Linked DNA regions of Rhinolophus ferrumequinum. The protein of the gene in region 1 binds, or shares a complex with, the protein of each later gene. Links are inferred from orthologs where the notes say so. Each region holds a gene or a part of one and is shown in the gene's direction. Other genes may lie near its edges.

What was found. The genes of interacting proteins can lie anywhere in the genome.
Region 2: CEP290 (region 1) and CC2D2A share a complex: the UniProt entries of both Homo sapiens proteins name them as parts of the tectonic-like complex. The link is inferred for Rhinolophus ferrumequinum from reciprocal best matches to the Homo sapiens genes CEP290 and CC2D2A.

Annotation. Positions count from the first base shown.
Region 1 is NC_046293.1:80,227,607-80,235,428, reverse strand, and holds the start of CEP290 (centrosomal protein of 290 kDa), read left to right. Parts: upstream 1-4,804; 5' UTR 4,805-5,020; exon of another isoform or gene 5,021-5,178; 5' UTR 5,179-5,255; intron 5,256-5,540; 5' UTR 5,541-5,568; coding exon 5,569-5,670; intron 5,671-5,812; coding exon 5,813-5,890; intron 5,891-6,947; coding exon 6,948-7,017; intron 7,018-7,311; coding exon 7,312-7,358; intron 7,359-7,822. UniProt on the Homo sapiens protein: Involved in early and late steps in cilia formation. Its association with CCP110 is required for inhibition of primary cilia formation by CCP110.
Region 2 is NC_046288.1:78,839,134-78,847,018, reverse strand, and holds the start of CC2D2A (coiled-coil and C2 domain-containing protein 2A), read left to right. Parts: upstream 1-4,870; 5' UTR 4,871-5,037; intron 5,038-7,885. UniProt on the Homo sapiens protein: Component of the tectonic-like complex, a complex localized at the transition zone of primary cilia and acting as a barrier that prevents diffusion of transmembrane proteins between the cilia and plasma membranes.

The DNA of each region.
Region 1 (7,822 bases):
AAACTGCTCATAAAATCAAAAGAAAGAAGGCAGGTCCAGGCAAGCATTCCTATAATAAGGCCATTTATAAAATGTCACATAAATCCCTTCTCTTGGTGAAAACTGACTGATACAGAAAATCTGATGAAAAATAATGGTGAATTTAGGTGATTTTCCTCAAAATTATACAGAGTTGACTGAATTAGATCTTCAGTTAAATTTTTTAATTCAGTTAAGTACAAACATACTATAATGCATTAGGACCTAGACCATAGCTAACTCATTTCTGCTGTATCCCCAGGATTTAGCAGTGTGTACAAGCTCAAAAATATTTTTAGAATAAGTAAAATAATGACATTTAAGCAACATTTTGCATTTTGTCAGGACTATAATTGAGATCTGGGTTGCAATCTTAGCTTCATTAATTATTAGGAAATTACTTAGCTTCTTTGAACCTGTTTTTCACACTTGAAAAATGAGAAAGGACAGTCTCTTTAATAAATTATGTTGGGAAAACTGGACAGCCACATACAGAAGAATGAAACTAGACTCCTGTCTTACCCACTCATTAGATCAGGTACCTTGAGTTGTTGGGAATATAAATGGGAATAAGAGGGTGAGGGGAGTAGAGGGTAGAAAAGACCACTACAAACAAAACAAAACTAGCAGATGAATAAATAGAAAATAATAATTACAATAAATTAAGAAAAATAAGGTGCTGTAGTAGAAATAACAGATTTCTACTATGAAAATATACAGTTGAAGCATAGTATATGACATAGTATGTGCTCAACAAACACTAGATTTCATTCCTATCTTCCCCTGCTAAATTATGAATTAAAAACACTGAACATGAAAAATATTTAATTCAACTTCTTGAGTAAACAAAGTTGCATAATTAGAATATGATAATGTTTCATATAAATAGCAAGATCGATGTACAAGCACTTACTTGACAGTATTGTTTCCCAGCATGCATGAGGAGGCAGCATAGCACTTACAAACGTCCTCCAGCCACAAAGATCTGTGTTCAATCACACTATTTAAGTTTGAACAGAGTACTTAACCTCTCCAAGCCTCTGTTTCTTAACTTAGTTGGAAAATGATGACAATATGGGGTCAGACAATTAAGTTCGCGAACTCATCCTAGAAAAAGTGCTATAGACCTCATTGCTGAATATCACTGTGGTCACCTTCGAAGTACTCCCCTTGGGAAGCTGTGCACCGATGCCAGCACCTAGTCCACCCTTCAAAGCAATTTTGGAACTCTTTTCCTGGAATGGCCATCAGAGCTGTCATTGTACGTATTACCCTTGATGTCCTGAATGTCATCAAAATGTCTTTCTTTCAATATTTCCTTTCTCTTCAGGTAAAGAAAGAAGTCATTGGGGGACCGATCAGGTGAGTAGGGAGGGTGTTCCAATACCGTTATTTGTTTACTGGCTAAAAACTCTCTCACAGACAGTGCCATTGTTGTGATGCAAGAGCCATGAACTGTTGGCGAAAAGTTCAGGTCTAACTCTTTCACGCAGCCTTTTCAGCACTTCCAAATAGTAAAGGTGGTTAACTGTTTGTCCAGTTGGTACAAATTCATAATGAGTAATTCCTCTGATATCAAAAAAGGTTACCAACAGGTTGTGACAAGTTTGCGAACTTAATTGTCACACCTCATATAAGGACCTATTTCATTGGATTGCTATGAAGATTGAATGAGATAATGACAAAGCTATAGCAAATAGAACAGCATGGTATTGGTAGAGTAGGTAGAAAGGTAGAAATGAGCAGGAGAAGGAGGGAACTAGCCCTGGTTATAAGGCCCCTTGCAGCTGCTCCTACTTATCAAAAAGATATGTCCTTAGAAGCAAAAAGAAATGCTGGAGAAGGAGGGAAAACAACCCGGTTATCAGAATGTACATCCTGCTTCTTTGGACCATACAATTATAGTTTGCCCCTTTTTAACGAGCTTCTCAAATACATCATGGGAAATTAATGGGTTCACACTTGCGCCCCAGGAAACAACAGGAAGAGAGGATGGACACACCCGCAGAAAGAGAGAAAGACACTGGACAAGGGGAGGAGGAGACAATTCTACCTATAGAAAGAAAAACCCTCACACAATGTAAGGAGGCTGCTTCCTTCTCTTGGGTCAGCGGGCTCCATGTCTGGGAGTGTACTTGCTTTTACTAATAAACTGCTTGCTGTCCTACGCTGCACCAATTCGGCCTCTTGACTGAATTCTTTCCTTTAAGACAAGAACCGAGGAAAAACGTCACTCCCAGTAACAGTACTGGTATAAAAAACACACACATAGACCAATGAAACGGAATAGAGAGCTCAGAAATAAACAGAGGGACCAAGAATATACAATGGGGAAAGGAGAGTCTCTTTAACAAATGATGTCGGGAAAACTGGACAGCCACATGCAGAATGAAACTAGACTGCTATCTTACCCCACTCACAAAAATCAACTCAAAATGAACGAAAGACTTGAACATAAGTCCTGAGATCATAAAACTCCTGTAATAAAACAGGGGATAAGCTATTTAAGACTGGTTTGGGCAATGGTTTTTTGGATTGGACCCCAAAAGCAAAGGCACCAAAAGCAAGAATAAACAAGTTGGACTACGTTAAACTAAAAAGCTTCTGCACAGCAATGGGAACCATAAACAAAATGAAAAAAACAAAAACAACCAACCTATCGAATAGTAGAAAATATTTACAAATATGTATCTGATAAGGGGCTAATAAACAAACTATGTAAAAGACTCATACAACTCAACAGAAAAGGAAAAAACCCCAAATAATCCAATTAAGAAATAGGCAGAGGAATATCTTTCAAAGAAGACGCAAACTGTCTTAATGAAAAGGTTAATGAAAAGGGGCTCACCACTAGTCACCAGGGAAATGCAAATCAAAACCACAATGAAATATCACCTCACTCCAGTTAGAACGGTTGCTATCAAAAACACAAGAGACGAGTGTTGGCAAGCATGTAGAGAAAAGAAAACCCTGTTTACTGTTGGTGGGAATGTAAATCGGTGCAGCCACTATGGAAACTAGTATGGAAGTGCCCTGAAAATGTATGAAGTGCCATATTATCCTGCAATTCTACTTTTGGGTATGTGTCTGAAGGAAATGAAATCACTATCTCAAAGAGATACCTGCACCCCCATATTCACTACAGATTATTTACAACAGCCAACCCATGGTAAGAACCTAAGTGTCCACCGAGGGCTGAATGGATCAACAAAACGTGGCATATGAACACAACGGCATATTAATCATCTATAAAAAGAAGGAAATCTTGCCATTTGCATGAATGGGCCTCAGGAGTATTATGCTAAGTGAAGTAAGTTAGACAAAGAAAAATATTAACTATCTCACTTAGATGAGGAACCCAAAAAAACAGGATTCACAGAAACAAAAAGCAGACTGGTCAAAAGTTACAAATTTCCAGTTATAAATAAGTTCTGCAAGATGTAATGTAGAACATGGTTTTTTTAAAAAAGATAATGAATAGTATGTGACATACTATCTTACAGTAAACGATTAGACAGAAATGATCATTCTCAGAAATCTGATGACTGTCTTTAAATGTACCTCAAAAATCCGTATTTGTTTTTATTTTCTACTAAGCTATGAACCACCCATGGTTTGGAAAGAAATCTATTATTTATTTTCAAAAGGAAATTTTAGTATCAACTATAGTAAGAAAAACCAAAGTGCTTAAAAAAAAAAAAAAAAAAAGATGAGGCGCTGGTCCAAACAGTTGAAAAATGCCATTTAGATTTCAAATCTATGGCTCCTTAACAAAATTACCTAGTGGTGTATTATACTCCAGAATGGCTGAGAGCAGCCGGATGAGCAAAACTTGCACAAATACGAGTTGTACACACCTGAGAAGGCACCTTCCTAGAAGGGGAGCCTCGGGAACCAAGTAAGTGACAGCAATAGGAATGCTGAGTACCGAGGCTCCTTCTCTCTCCACCCCTAGCAGTGGCCTAGACAAGTTCTAACCTCTCTTTTCTAGAGCCTTCAATCTACACTAACTCCTCAGCCTTCCAAGTCCTTCAAACCGCGAAGGTAAAAGTGCTACAGGTAAGGGGGGCGAGGTCGTAGGATGCGGTGTCGTGTCTTCTCAATCCTTCACTCGCCCCCAAATCAGGACCTCGATTGCACGGCCCCCACTCCACTATACAGAGCCAGATTCTGACACCAAAAAAGGCTAAAACTTCCCCCCTCCCGCCCTTCTTCTTACAGAGGGCACCACCCGGGGCGTCCCTTGCAAACGCCTAAGGAGAAGGCGGGGTCGTCCCACCTCTTCAGACTCCGACAGGGCCCTTCCTCCCCAATGCTCGGAGCTGCTGTAAGCCAGGACCGCTCCCATCAACACCTCCCCCGCCGCTGACCCACACTCTGACTTCACCTGGGAGCAGTTCCACCGAGGGATGGCTTAGGGAAACCTCAGAAAAAACGGGCCAACGAGCGACGCCACCGAAGGCACAGTCATGGTCAACAGTGCAGATGCGCCTCAGTCACTGCGCCTCCCGCCTCCCGATCTTTACCCCGCGGCCCGGTACAGTCGCAGCCTCCCGCTTTGCATGCCGGGAAAGGCCCGCCTCCACTTCTCAGAGACTTCAATTCCCAGGATGCACAAGCCTCCAAAAGCACTGCACTCTGGGACTTGGAGTCCTAAGCCCACGCCCTTCTCCTCCTCCTTAATACAGAGTCCCGGAACTCCTCTGGGGAATCTAAACGTAAAGCATCACCCATAGTCGTGAAATGTAGGCTCCGCATGCATCCGGGGCCTTGTTTTGGCCTTGACTGGGTGGGGAATGGTGTCGCCTAGCAGCCGCCGCCGCTCTTGCTGCTCGGGATCAGTTAGCTGGATCCAGCGTGGGGTTGGAACCGCGCTGGGGAGCGGTCAGGCGTGGCAGCCGGGTCAGGTCTGGTGGATGCGGTAAATAAGGAGCCGCCGCTGGTTGCCAGGCTTGGTGGGTGGATCCTGGTGAGGCGAAGCAGCGAATCTCTTCCCACTCAGGTTCTTTAAGCCTCAGGGCCCACACCAAATAGCCCATCTTCCCCGCCCCTTAGTCTTTGGTCCGCAATGCATCTGCCGTCTCGCTTCAGCCCTGGTTTCTCCTGCGCGACTGCACTCATTTCAGTCGTTTATGTATGCACTTTTTTTTAAACCCACAGTTGCTGCTTTTCCGAATCAAGGGTCAATTTCAGCCTTCCAAGCACTCCGCCCAATTAGGTGTTCGCGCGCCTTGGTGGTAAGGATCATGGAGAAGGGGACTCAGAATCTTAGTTCTGACCTAGATTAGTTTTAGCAAGGGAGCTGTCATACTTTATTTAGCCGATGCAATATCTGATGGTTTGTGCCGACTGCTATATTTTGATCAAGGCTGTTTTGCCCACTTATCGGTTATACTATTAAGGAGCCATAGTTATTTGCTAACACCGAGGTTACAATAATGTAATCTATAAACACTAAATTACTGTAAAAACAGAAACGCTGTTTCCCTTCAAAATGCTAATACCCATCTGTTTTGTTACAGAAGGTAAAGCGTTGTTAAAGAATTCAAGATGCCACCTAATATAAACTGGAAAGAAATAATAAAAGTTGACCCAGATGACCTGCCTCGTCAAGAAGAATTGGCAGATAATTTATTGGTTTCTTTATCCAAGGTGCTTAATTGATAAATAATACGTAGATACATCAACTATGATTAAGTTGTTCCTGAAATCACTGGATGGTATAACTGGAAGAATTCTTATATTTTGCTTAAGTGTTATGTAATATAAAATAGTTTCTTCTCTGTTTACTTAGGTGGAAGTAAATGAGCTAAAAAGTGAAAGTCAAGAAAATGTGATACACCTTTTCAGAATTACTCAGTCACTGATGAAGGTTTGTATGCAGTAGATTTTAATAACAGGTTTGACTATTAGAGAAATTCAAGAATCTGTTCTTAAGTGTTAATCTCTGTGAAAGTACTTTGTAATGTCTAAATCAGCACAAAAAGTAGATCTTCAAATGTGATTGATAATTTTAGTGTGCAAAAACATTGGTAGTTTCTGCTCTAAATTTCCTAAAAGAATGTGTGGGGGAAACAGAATGTGTATGTTTAAAAATAACGTAGGAAGGTCCTGTGTTAATTTTGTTAACAATGATGAGGTAGAAATGAAAAATGCAGATAACTACTATAGGGATTTGTTAGAAAAGGAAGAGATTTATATGTGAGAAGACCTCATAAAGGTCAAAGAGTGATGAGTAGTTTTAGGTAAGTGGAAGGCAGGGGTATAATGTTAAGGAGATTCTAGAGCTGGAGGTTACCATAAATAAAAACTGGTAATGGAAAATGTGTGTATTCTTTATATTGAGGAGACAAGTGCAGAAAGTTTATAGCTGGTCATAGAGGAAACAAATGTTGGGTATATATAATTTGACAGCTTTGTCAAGGACTTGAAGTGATATTTTATGCTGTCAGCCATTAAAGGTTTTTGAGCCACAATGATAGATACCAAAATATGCCTTGGGAAGGCTAAACTAAGTATGTTAATGGGACACATTGAAGGGAATTGAAGCTGTTTAGACATAACATGATGAAGGAGGTTAGACTTCAAATTATGGACTAGCATAATGACAATTAGAATAGAAAAAGAAGGTATAGTAGAAAAGAATAGAAAAAAAGATAATGGAAAACAAAGGGAAAAGTTGCAATACTGGATATAAGACTTGAGGATAAAGAGGAATCAAAGATGTTTCAAACTGTTAAGAATCTAGAAATTATAATCTTAAGAAAGAAAATCATGTATTCATTTAACAAATATTTGCCGAAGATCTCCATGTGATAGACATTGGAGACACTAAGTATTGGGATTGCAAATAAAATCCTTATTTTCAGTGCTTGCATTCTAGTATAAAGGCATATTGAAGTCACTTTTTTTTTTTTTTTACTGTTTAGATGAAAGCTCAAGAAGTAGAGCTAGCTTTGGAAGAAGTTGAAAAAGCTGGAGAAGAACAAGCAAAATTTGGTAAATGCCTTGGAAAAAGTTTATTATGATATTAGATAGTGGATTCCATTTATTCACTAAGCAATAGAGAAATTAACTTTGATGTAAGTCTGTAAAATGTATATACTCAATTTATTTTGAAAGCTGTTTCTAGAACTCCTATTTCACGGGTCTGGTGTAAATTTGTTATTTTTCTCTTATATTACCTTTTTACAGTCACAATGGACTCTTTAAAAATAATTTTATTGAAAAAATTTTAAAAGCTTGTTTTGATATAAATCTGACCAATTGAAACATTTCTTTTTTTTGAAATAGAAAATCAATTAAAAACTAAAGTGATGAAATTGGAAAATGAACTGGAGGTATGTCTTTTCATATTCCCTATGGTGTAATTTGTTGTTAATTTTATTATTTTGAATTATTAGTTTGATAATTTTGATAATTGTTGGCTGTAAAAATTACAAGAATGACACTGTATTCATAATTATTTGTTCAGTAATGTAATAAATGTAAAATATATATTTGTCATGTCTATTATGTACCTTAAATTCTATTAAGAATTGATCATCTAATTGTGAACAAAATAAAAACATTCAATAACCTCATGAAGCTTACAGTTTAGAGAGATATACAAAGGATTACTAGTAACTGAGGTGGAGCAAGGCACATTGGAATTTGAGGAATAGTGACAGAGGGTATAGTAGAAGTAGCTTTTGAGAAAGCCAGGATCCAAAATATGAAAGTATTGTTAAGGAACTAAATACATTTTGAGATTCCTGAAAATGTGGGGAGGAATGTGATACAAATAGGTTAGCCTGAAAAGAAA
Region 2 (7,885 bases), on another chromosome or scaffold:
TGTATATTGAAGCATTATTCACTCTACCCAAAAGGTAGAAACAACCTAAATATCCATCAGCAGATAAGTGGATAAGGAAAATGTGGTATACGCACACAATGAATTATGATTCAGCATTAAAACATAATGATGTACTGACACAGGCTATAATATGGATGAACCTTGAAAACATTATGTTAAAGGAACTAAACCAAACATAAACGGACAATTATCATACGGTTGCAAGTAAATGAAATAACTAGAATAGGCAAATTTATAGAGACAGAAAGTGGACTGGAGGTTAGCAGAGGCTGGGCTGGGTTACCAGAGGGAGGAATGCAGAGTTATTGTTTACTGGGTACAGAGTTACCATTTGGGGTGATGAAAAAATTTCAGAAATAGATAGTGGTGATGGTTGCACACATTGTGGATGTAACTAATGCCACTGAATTGTACACTTAAACGTGGTTAAAATATATATTTGAAAGTTGCTAAAAGAGTAGATCTTGAAAGTTCTCGAGTTCTTACCACAAGGAAAAAAGATTGTAACTATGTGAGGCGATGGATGTTAGTTAAACTGATCGTGGTGATCACTTTGGTATATATATAAATTCTTATGCGAGCAAAATAAATGAATCTAACAGATTTGTTTTAAACCAAAATGCAAAACTCTCATTCTTTTAGGTTAAGCGTTCCTAGGTGGCAATATATATATATCAAACCATTATGTTGTGCACCTAAAATTAAGACAAATTTATATTTCAATTATATCACGATAAAACTGGATAAATGGCTAAAATGGCAAATATTATGTTATATATATTTTTACCATGATAAAAAAAATCTCACTGGACCCAAGTGTTTTATGCACAAGTTCACAGAACAGAGTTTGTGTGTGTGTGTGTGAGAGAGAGAGAGAAAGAAACAGACAGACATACAGACAGAGACAGAGACAGAAAGAGGTACACAGAGAGAGATTAGTCTGCTTTTTCTGAGATTAGAAATATCCTAAAAAAAAAACAATACAAAAAACGAAAAATAATATCATCTCAGTTATGAACATTAAGGCAAAAAAATCTAAACATTAGTAACTAAAATCCACCAATTAATTTTTTAAACGTTTTGACCAAACTTAGTGTACCCCAGAGACACAAGAAAAATTTGACGTTAAAAAGCCTGTTAATGCAATTCACCCCATTAAAAAATGAAAGAAGGATAATCATATTTGATTATCTGAAAAGACGCAGAAGAAGAGCTTGTGATGTGTGATTCAAGACAAGTTCTTGATTGGAAGCTCTTCAGCCAGCTAGGAACACGTAACTTAAAAGAATGAGAATTTTGTGTTTTGATTTAAAACAAATCTGCTAGACTCATTTATTTTGCTCACATAAGAATTTTTGCAAGAAATGATGTTTTCGAATTATGCCCTTTAATAATTTTGGAACATTGTGAGATGTATAATTCTTATGAACTGGTTTAGTTTAGTTAAATACGAACAGATAAGGAATGTCATAATCAGAAAGTTAATTAGCACAAGACTGGTGAATAAATCCTCTTATGGCAACTAACCACTTCAAGTAGATAATCTCTTACAATTAACATCTGCTATAGTCTGAACTGTGTCCCCCAAAACACAACCTCACATGTTGCTGCCCTAACTCTCAATATGACTGTATTTGGAAGTAAGAATTTTAGGAGATAAAGTTAGATGATTAAATGAGGTCATAAGGGTGGAGCCTTAATCCAAGTGAGGATGTCCAAAAGGATTGGTGGACTTATGAGAAGAGGAAGAGTTATCTCTGTCTCCATCTGAATACCCTGTGAGGACACAGTTAGATGGCAGCCATCTACAAGCCAGGAAGAGAGCTTTCACCAAAAACTGAATCAGCTGGCAACTTAATCTTGGATTTCCCAGCCTACAGAATTGTGAGAAAATCCATCTTTATTGCTTAAGCCCCACCCCCAGTCTATGGTATTCTATCAAAGCAGTCTGAGCTAAGACAATATTCACCTTTTTTTTTTCATTCATAAACCGTATAGCATTTGCATCTGCCAGGATTTGATTAACATTAAATTAATAAACCTAACAACCCTCTGTGGTCATTAATATTATTAACCCCATTTTACAGATGAGGAAACTGAAACATAGAAAAGGAAGTTGACGAAGATCTCTCTATGTTAAGATTCAGCATTCACCTTCTTTCTCTCTTCTACCTTCCTGGGACTCCACCAGATATGGCGGACCCCTTAAATTTCTCCTCCTTGACTTTCATCCATTCTTTCCCATTTTCCGTCTCTCTAGGCCCCATTTTAATTTTTTAATATCTTTTTTTTATGTCACTAATTCTTTTTCCAGCTCTCTTAACAGAAGTTTAACCCATCCTTTGCTTAAAAAAAAAAAATCATAATTTTATTATTCGTTTCTAAAAGCTCTAGCTTGTTCCTTTGCACATTTGCCTGATCTTTTTCATAGTATATCTCTCATATCTTCAAAGCCTCCTTTTAAGTTCTTTTATGGTCATTGTTTTTTTTTATATTCTCCATTTGATCATTGTGTTATCAGAAGTTCTTGGATATGCCCTTTGGTTGTCTACGGACTCTTGATTGTTCCCTCCTGTGTTGTCTAATTTTGGATTGTGAGCTCATCTTCAGCAAAGTATATTTGCAGCCATCTGGAATTGACTAGTTGAAGATATTTCGTATCTGCTCCTGCCCAGAATCCCACAGGAATACAGTAAACGGAGATCGCTTTTTAAAATGTGTCTCTTGGGGGAGCGTTCCTAAATGATATAGGTAGCATCAATAAGACAATTAAACAGCATAGTGCAAGCCAACGATTATAAATTCTGTGGAGAATATTTTTCCCACCACATGCAGAAAAGAAACCGAGAGATAACTTTCTGTCTCCTTGTGCCAGCTTTCAATCTAAAATAAAAATATAAGAGTTTTTCTTATATTACTTCTTTGATAAATTCTACCTTTTCATTTTCTTGGTTCTTTCTTTCCATAACTACATATGTGGAATTTCTTAACCTGAGATCTTCTCATTTTCTCTGCAATGCTTTTCTGTAAAGGTGATATGATAGATTTGTTTTGTTTTGTTTTGTTTTGTTTTTCCATTGGAGGATCCAGAAGTGTCAGTATCTGGCATCTGTTCTTTGTGACCATTCAGTTTCTCCAGAAAATAATTTTTCCATGTTTTCCAGTTTGTTACTGGGGGAGCCAAAGATATACTTTTGTTTGCCTCAGTTTTGTGAGAAGGAGAGTGCCCTACCCACCTCCCCATTTCATATTCAGTTTTCAACCCTGAAACACACCCACTGTCTGCTGTACCTGGGACTTGAGACCAGAGTGTCTATGGTTCAACTTCCATAGAAAACTCCAGTCTCCTCTGAGTGGCAGAAGAAGAGGGGGTGGGGGAATGGGCGTGTTTCCTCAGGCTGCCAGGAGTAAGGAAGGAGCTTGAGGACATAGCCCCTCTGTATACAGACTTCCAAATCTTGCGTTTCAGCCCCATAACTCTCCCCACTTTCCTTGGTATATAACTGTGCTAGTTTCCTGAGGCTGCTACAACAAAGCAGCCCACTGGGTGGCTTAAGACAACAGAAATATATTGTCTCACAGTTCTGGAGATGAGAGGTAAGAAACCAAGGCATTGGCGGGATTGGTTCCTTCTCAGGGCTGTGAGGAAGAATGGGTCCCATGTGTCTCCTCGCTTCTGGTGCCTCAGGCGTTCCCTGATTTATAGATGCTATTCTCTCTGTGTCTTCATATCCCCTTCCCTCTATGCACGTCTGTCTCTGTGCCTAGATTCTCCCCTTTTTATAAGAATGTAGTCACATTGGATAAGGGCCCATGCTAATGACCTCATTTTAAACTGAGTCATTTCCAAATAAGGTCACATTTTGAAGACCTGGGGGTAAGGACTCCAACATATCTTTTTTAGTGTCCCACTAAAAAAGATATAGTGGGACACTCTTCAGCGCATCACAACACTGAGCCAAAGCCTGAGCTTCTCTGGAGTTCTGCAGACTGGATCAGTTCATTTCCTCATTCTTACGCCTACTTACCCCATCCCACACATACACAGATACACACACAGACACACATGTATGTACATGGACACACAGAGGAACACACACTCAGAGATGTGCAAACATACACAGAAACAGAGACACACAGATACATACATACATACAGAGAAACACACAGAGACATGCATAGACACAGATACCCAGAGACAAACCAACCGAGACACGCGTAGAGATACACTCAAACACACCCAGTTACACACAGAGAGACACATGGACATGGACATGCGCACTAGTAAACAGACACACACACGCATACTTGGAGTGTGGCTTTCTTTGGTCGACTCCTTCCGTGCTCTTCCATCTGCTTTGCCTCTTCTCCTATCCCTTGGCTTTTTGAGCCATCACATTTATATCTTCGCTCAATCATTTCAGTGGGAGTCAGAGAAAAAGCAGAGGTTAACCTTGTACATTCAGTCTCCCACATTTAAGCGGAAAACACTGCAGAGCAGTATTTGCTGGGGCCTGGAAGCACCTCTAGGGAGCCTTCACTACAAAGATATCCTCACTCCAAAACAATGACCCATCATGATTCTAAAGCACCCGCCTCTGAGCACGGCCTGTCTTTTACCAGAAATGCCAGTGACCCCACACATGAGGGAGGGAACGGCTCTTAAAGTTTGACTTAACTTCTGCCCAGCTCCTGCCCCAGGTGGATTCTCTTTTTCCTTGTCCTGTAGGCTGCTTTCTGCTCTCACCCCCCACGCACCTTTGTGTTCCTCTACTAGGAATAACCTGTCACTTTAAGAGAAATAAAGCCACCAAGCCACCTCCCTTAGGAACACGTTGCTAAGTGCGTGTTTTTGCTGGAGACATGGCTGCAGCTTCCCAGGGAGCCGCCCGGGGACGCCCCAACATTCATCCCTTCGTTTGGACGCTTAGAAGATTCAACAGGAAGACCCAGCTCCACTTCCCTTTCATCCCGGAAAGCAGAATCGGCAAAGTGCCTTCATTAAAGGTCTTTCAGGTAAATCCGTTCTTCCCGGGAGCAGGGCTGCAGCACTGGGGTCCCGCTTTCGGTTCCCTGCCTTGGAGTTCAGCCTCTGCCCTCGGAGCCCAGAGCAGATTTCACTGACTTGTAAAGTTAGGGTCTCTCATCATTATTATTCATGCTTTACTTTCTGGAATTAAAACGTAGAGCACTACTCGGCTGCTTTGATTTGCGCTTCTGCCCGGGTTCTTGTGTATAGAAACGTTCAACGCAGCTCCTCACAAGCCTGGTGAATCCCTCCCAGCCGGTCACCCTGCCTCCTTCCTTGGGCTTCCATCCCCTCCATCCTGTTGCTTTCCAGACTCCCAGGAACATTTGCTGCGTTTGCATTTCCGGGCCTTTTAGCTCACATTGGTTCGAAGGGCTAAGTACTAGCTATTGCAAGCTTCACTTTTCTTGGCATTAGACAGAAAAGGGCCATGACAGACGGGGCTGAGGCTCCCTGCTCTCTCCAAAAAAAACCACAAGAAAATCTGCTGGCTGCGATTTAAACTGATTGTTTCCCTTCATTGCAAAGAGGTGCTATGAAAAGCAAATGAAGTCTAATGGGAAATACATGGATGTTATTAAATTTTCATGTAACTTCTGCAAATAAACTCAGCACCAGAATGAAGTCTCTCTCTGTCTCTCCTGGAGCTTGTTTAAAGAGACATTCATTCACACATTTCTTGAGCATCAGCAACACACCAGGCAGTGAGCGGGAGTTTAAAGGGTACAAAGATGCATTAGACCAGGTTAGAAGCTCAGGGTTTACCGGGAAGACAGACTTACAAACAGATAATAACAGTGCAATGAGCTAAGTGCCATAAGAGATTTATAAAAGGGTCTAACGCTCTTAGCACCCAGCGAGACCACCCCCAGGGAGCGCCTGAGACACTCAGTTCATCGTGTGTGTGCATCGGGCATACACCACCCAGCTCAGCTCAGATAGTTGTAGGTACTCTTTGAAGGCAATACACATTATATGAAGCTGATTAAATGATTCTATAAAGCCATTTGTCACTAACCTTCTACTACTGGAAGCTATGGTCAGAATAACTTATAGAAGCAGGTAATGGATTCAAAAAGGTGTGTGTGGCACCTGCCCATGGTTCTCACAGGATGGGACAGAAACAGTTAAGCACTGTACACAGGGAGAAAATACTCATGCTTCTGAGGGCAGGGGAAGGCTTCAAATCACCATGAATGGAAACGGAAAGGAAACTGCCCTGGGCCCAGCTGGGGAAGGAAGGGGAGATATTGCTTATTGGACCCATGGGATGAAGAGAGGAACCAAAGATGGGAATGGGGGACTTGAACATCACAGAAGGTCTTTCTTGTGACTCCCCTTCTGTCCGCTAAGCTCTTTTTCCTTCCCCACTCTTGTCTTCTACTTTCCCTCCCTACCACCTCCTTCTCCTGATAACACTAACCAGAATGGAGAGCGTGGTAAGTGTTCGGCATTTTACTACACACATTCTATTATTTAACCCTTATAAAATTATTACCCATCGAGGTAGGAATTAATGGCCCCACGTTCACAGACATAGAAACGTATCTCAGAGAGGTAAAGGCATTGCTCCAAGATCACACAACTGATAAATAGTGCTGGAATTGAACCCAGGTCCACAGAATTTTTTACAGAGCCCTCACTCTTTCTATAAACCCATGTTTTCACTGTCCTGGAGTAGGATGCACATACTATATTATTTTTTAAGCAGCCAAGGCTGAGATTCAAACAATGCCACCTTTTTCATCTACCTTCATTCCTTTCTTTCTTACATTCTGTAGAATTTGTCACAGGGTCCTTTTATGACTCTGATCCTCTGGTGACCCTCAGGGATAGTCTTTGCCTTGATGAAGGTGTCAGTACTTTCCTTCAAAAATGTCTTTGGTGTTCTGCACTGAGTTAAACAAATCACTGGCCTGAAGTAGCCAAAGCTCTTTCTCACTGAGGCAATGCTCCACAGTTTTCAATGGAAAATAGTTCCAGAATAGTGGGCTAGCATAGAACAGTTACTGATATCATTGAAAAAGCAAGAATATATGGCGAGACAGAGAGAGAGAGTAGTAAGGGGGTGGACTCTGGAATCACAGACGTGGGGTCAAGTTCTAAATATGGCATTTTATGACTATAATCTTGGGCAAATTAGGTAAACTGTCAGAGGTTAGACTCAGAGGAAACCTTGGTTTCCTTACATGTAAATTGAGGCAAGAGCTACTGAGCTAGAAGGGTTCTTGTGAAGCCTAGGGACAACTTGGATAGAGAGAGAGCACAAAAGAAACCTGCAGTAAATTATGGCTCTTATTTTGATGTTGCCAATAGAAATATATTAACAAGTGCTCAGTGCATATGACGACAAGTGGTATATTAAAGTTGGGGAGTATTGATTTATCTTTTCTTAGCAAGAGTGTTCATAAAAAAATAAATTTTGTTGTCATTAGAAACTCATTCAAAGGTAATGATCAGGAAAGAATGAGGAGAAAAAAATCAACCCCATTACATTTTTCATTTTCTACTTCTACTTCTTTCTTTCATACATCACACTTTTTAATTTATTAAGAATCTTTTTTTAGTTACTAAATGACTTCACAGTTCTTTTTCTCCAGTTCTTAATTGCCAGAGTTGTTTCTTAGAGAGCTTTTGTGTCCTTCAGCATTATCTGCCCCCTTGTTTTTTCTAGAGTACCTCTTCACATTTTTATTTTCTTAGCTGCTTTTATCATTTCCCTTCCGCTCTTTCTGTAGCCTGTGTGGAGGTGTAGATGGGAAACAGTTGAATTTCCAGTGCTCTGCTCCCCGTTAACGTGCTAATTCCCGATTAAAGTCAGTGAAACCCTGAACA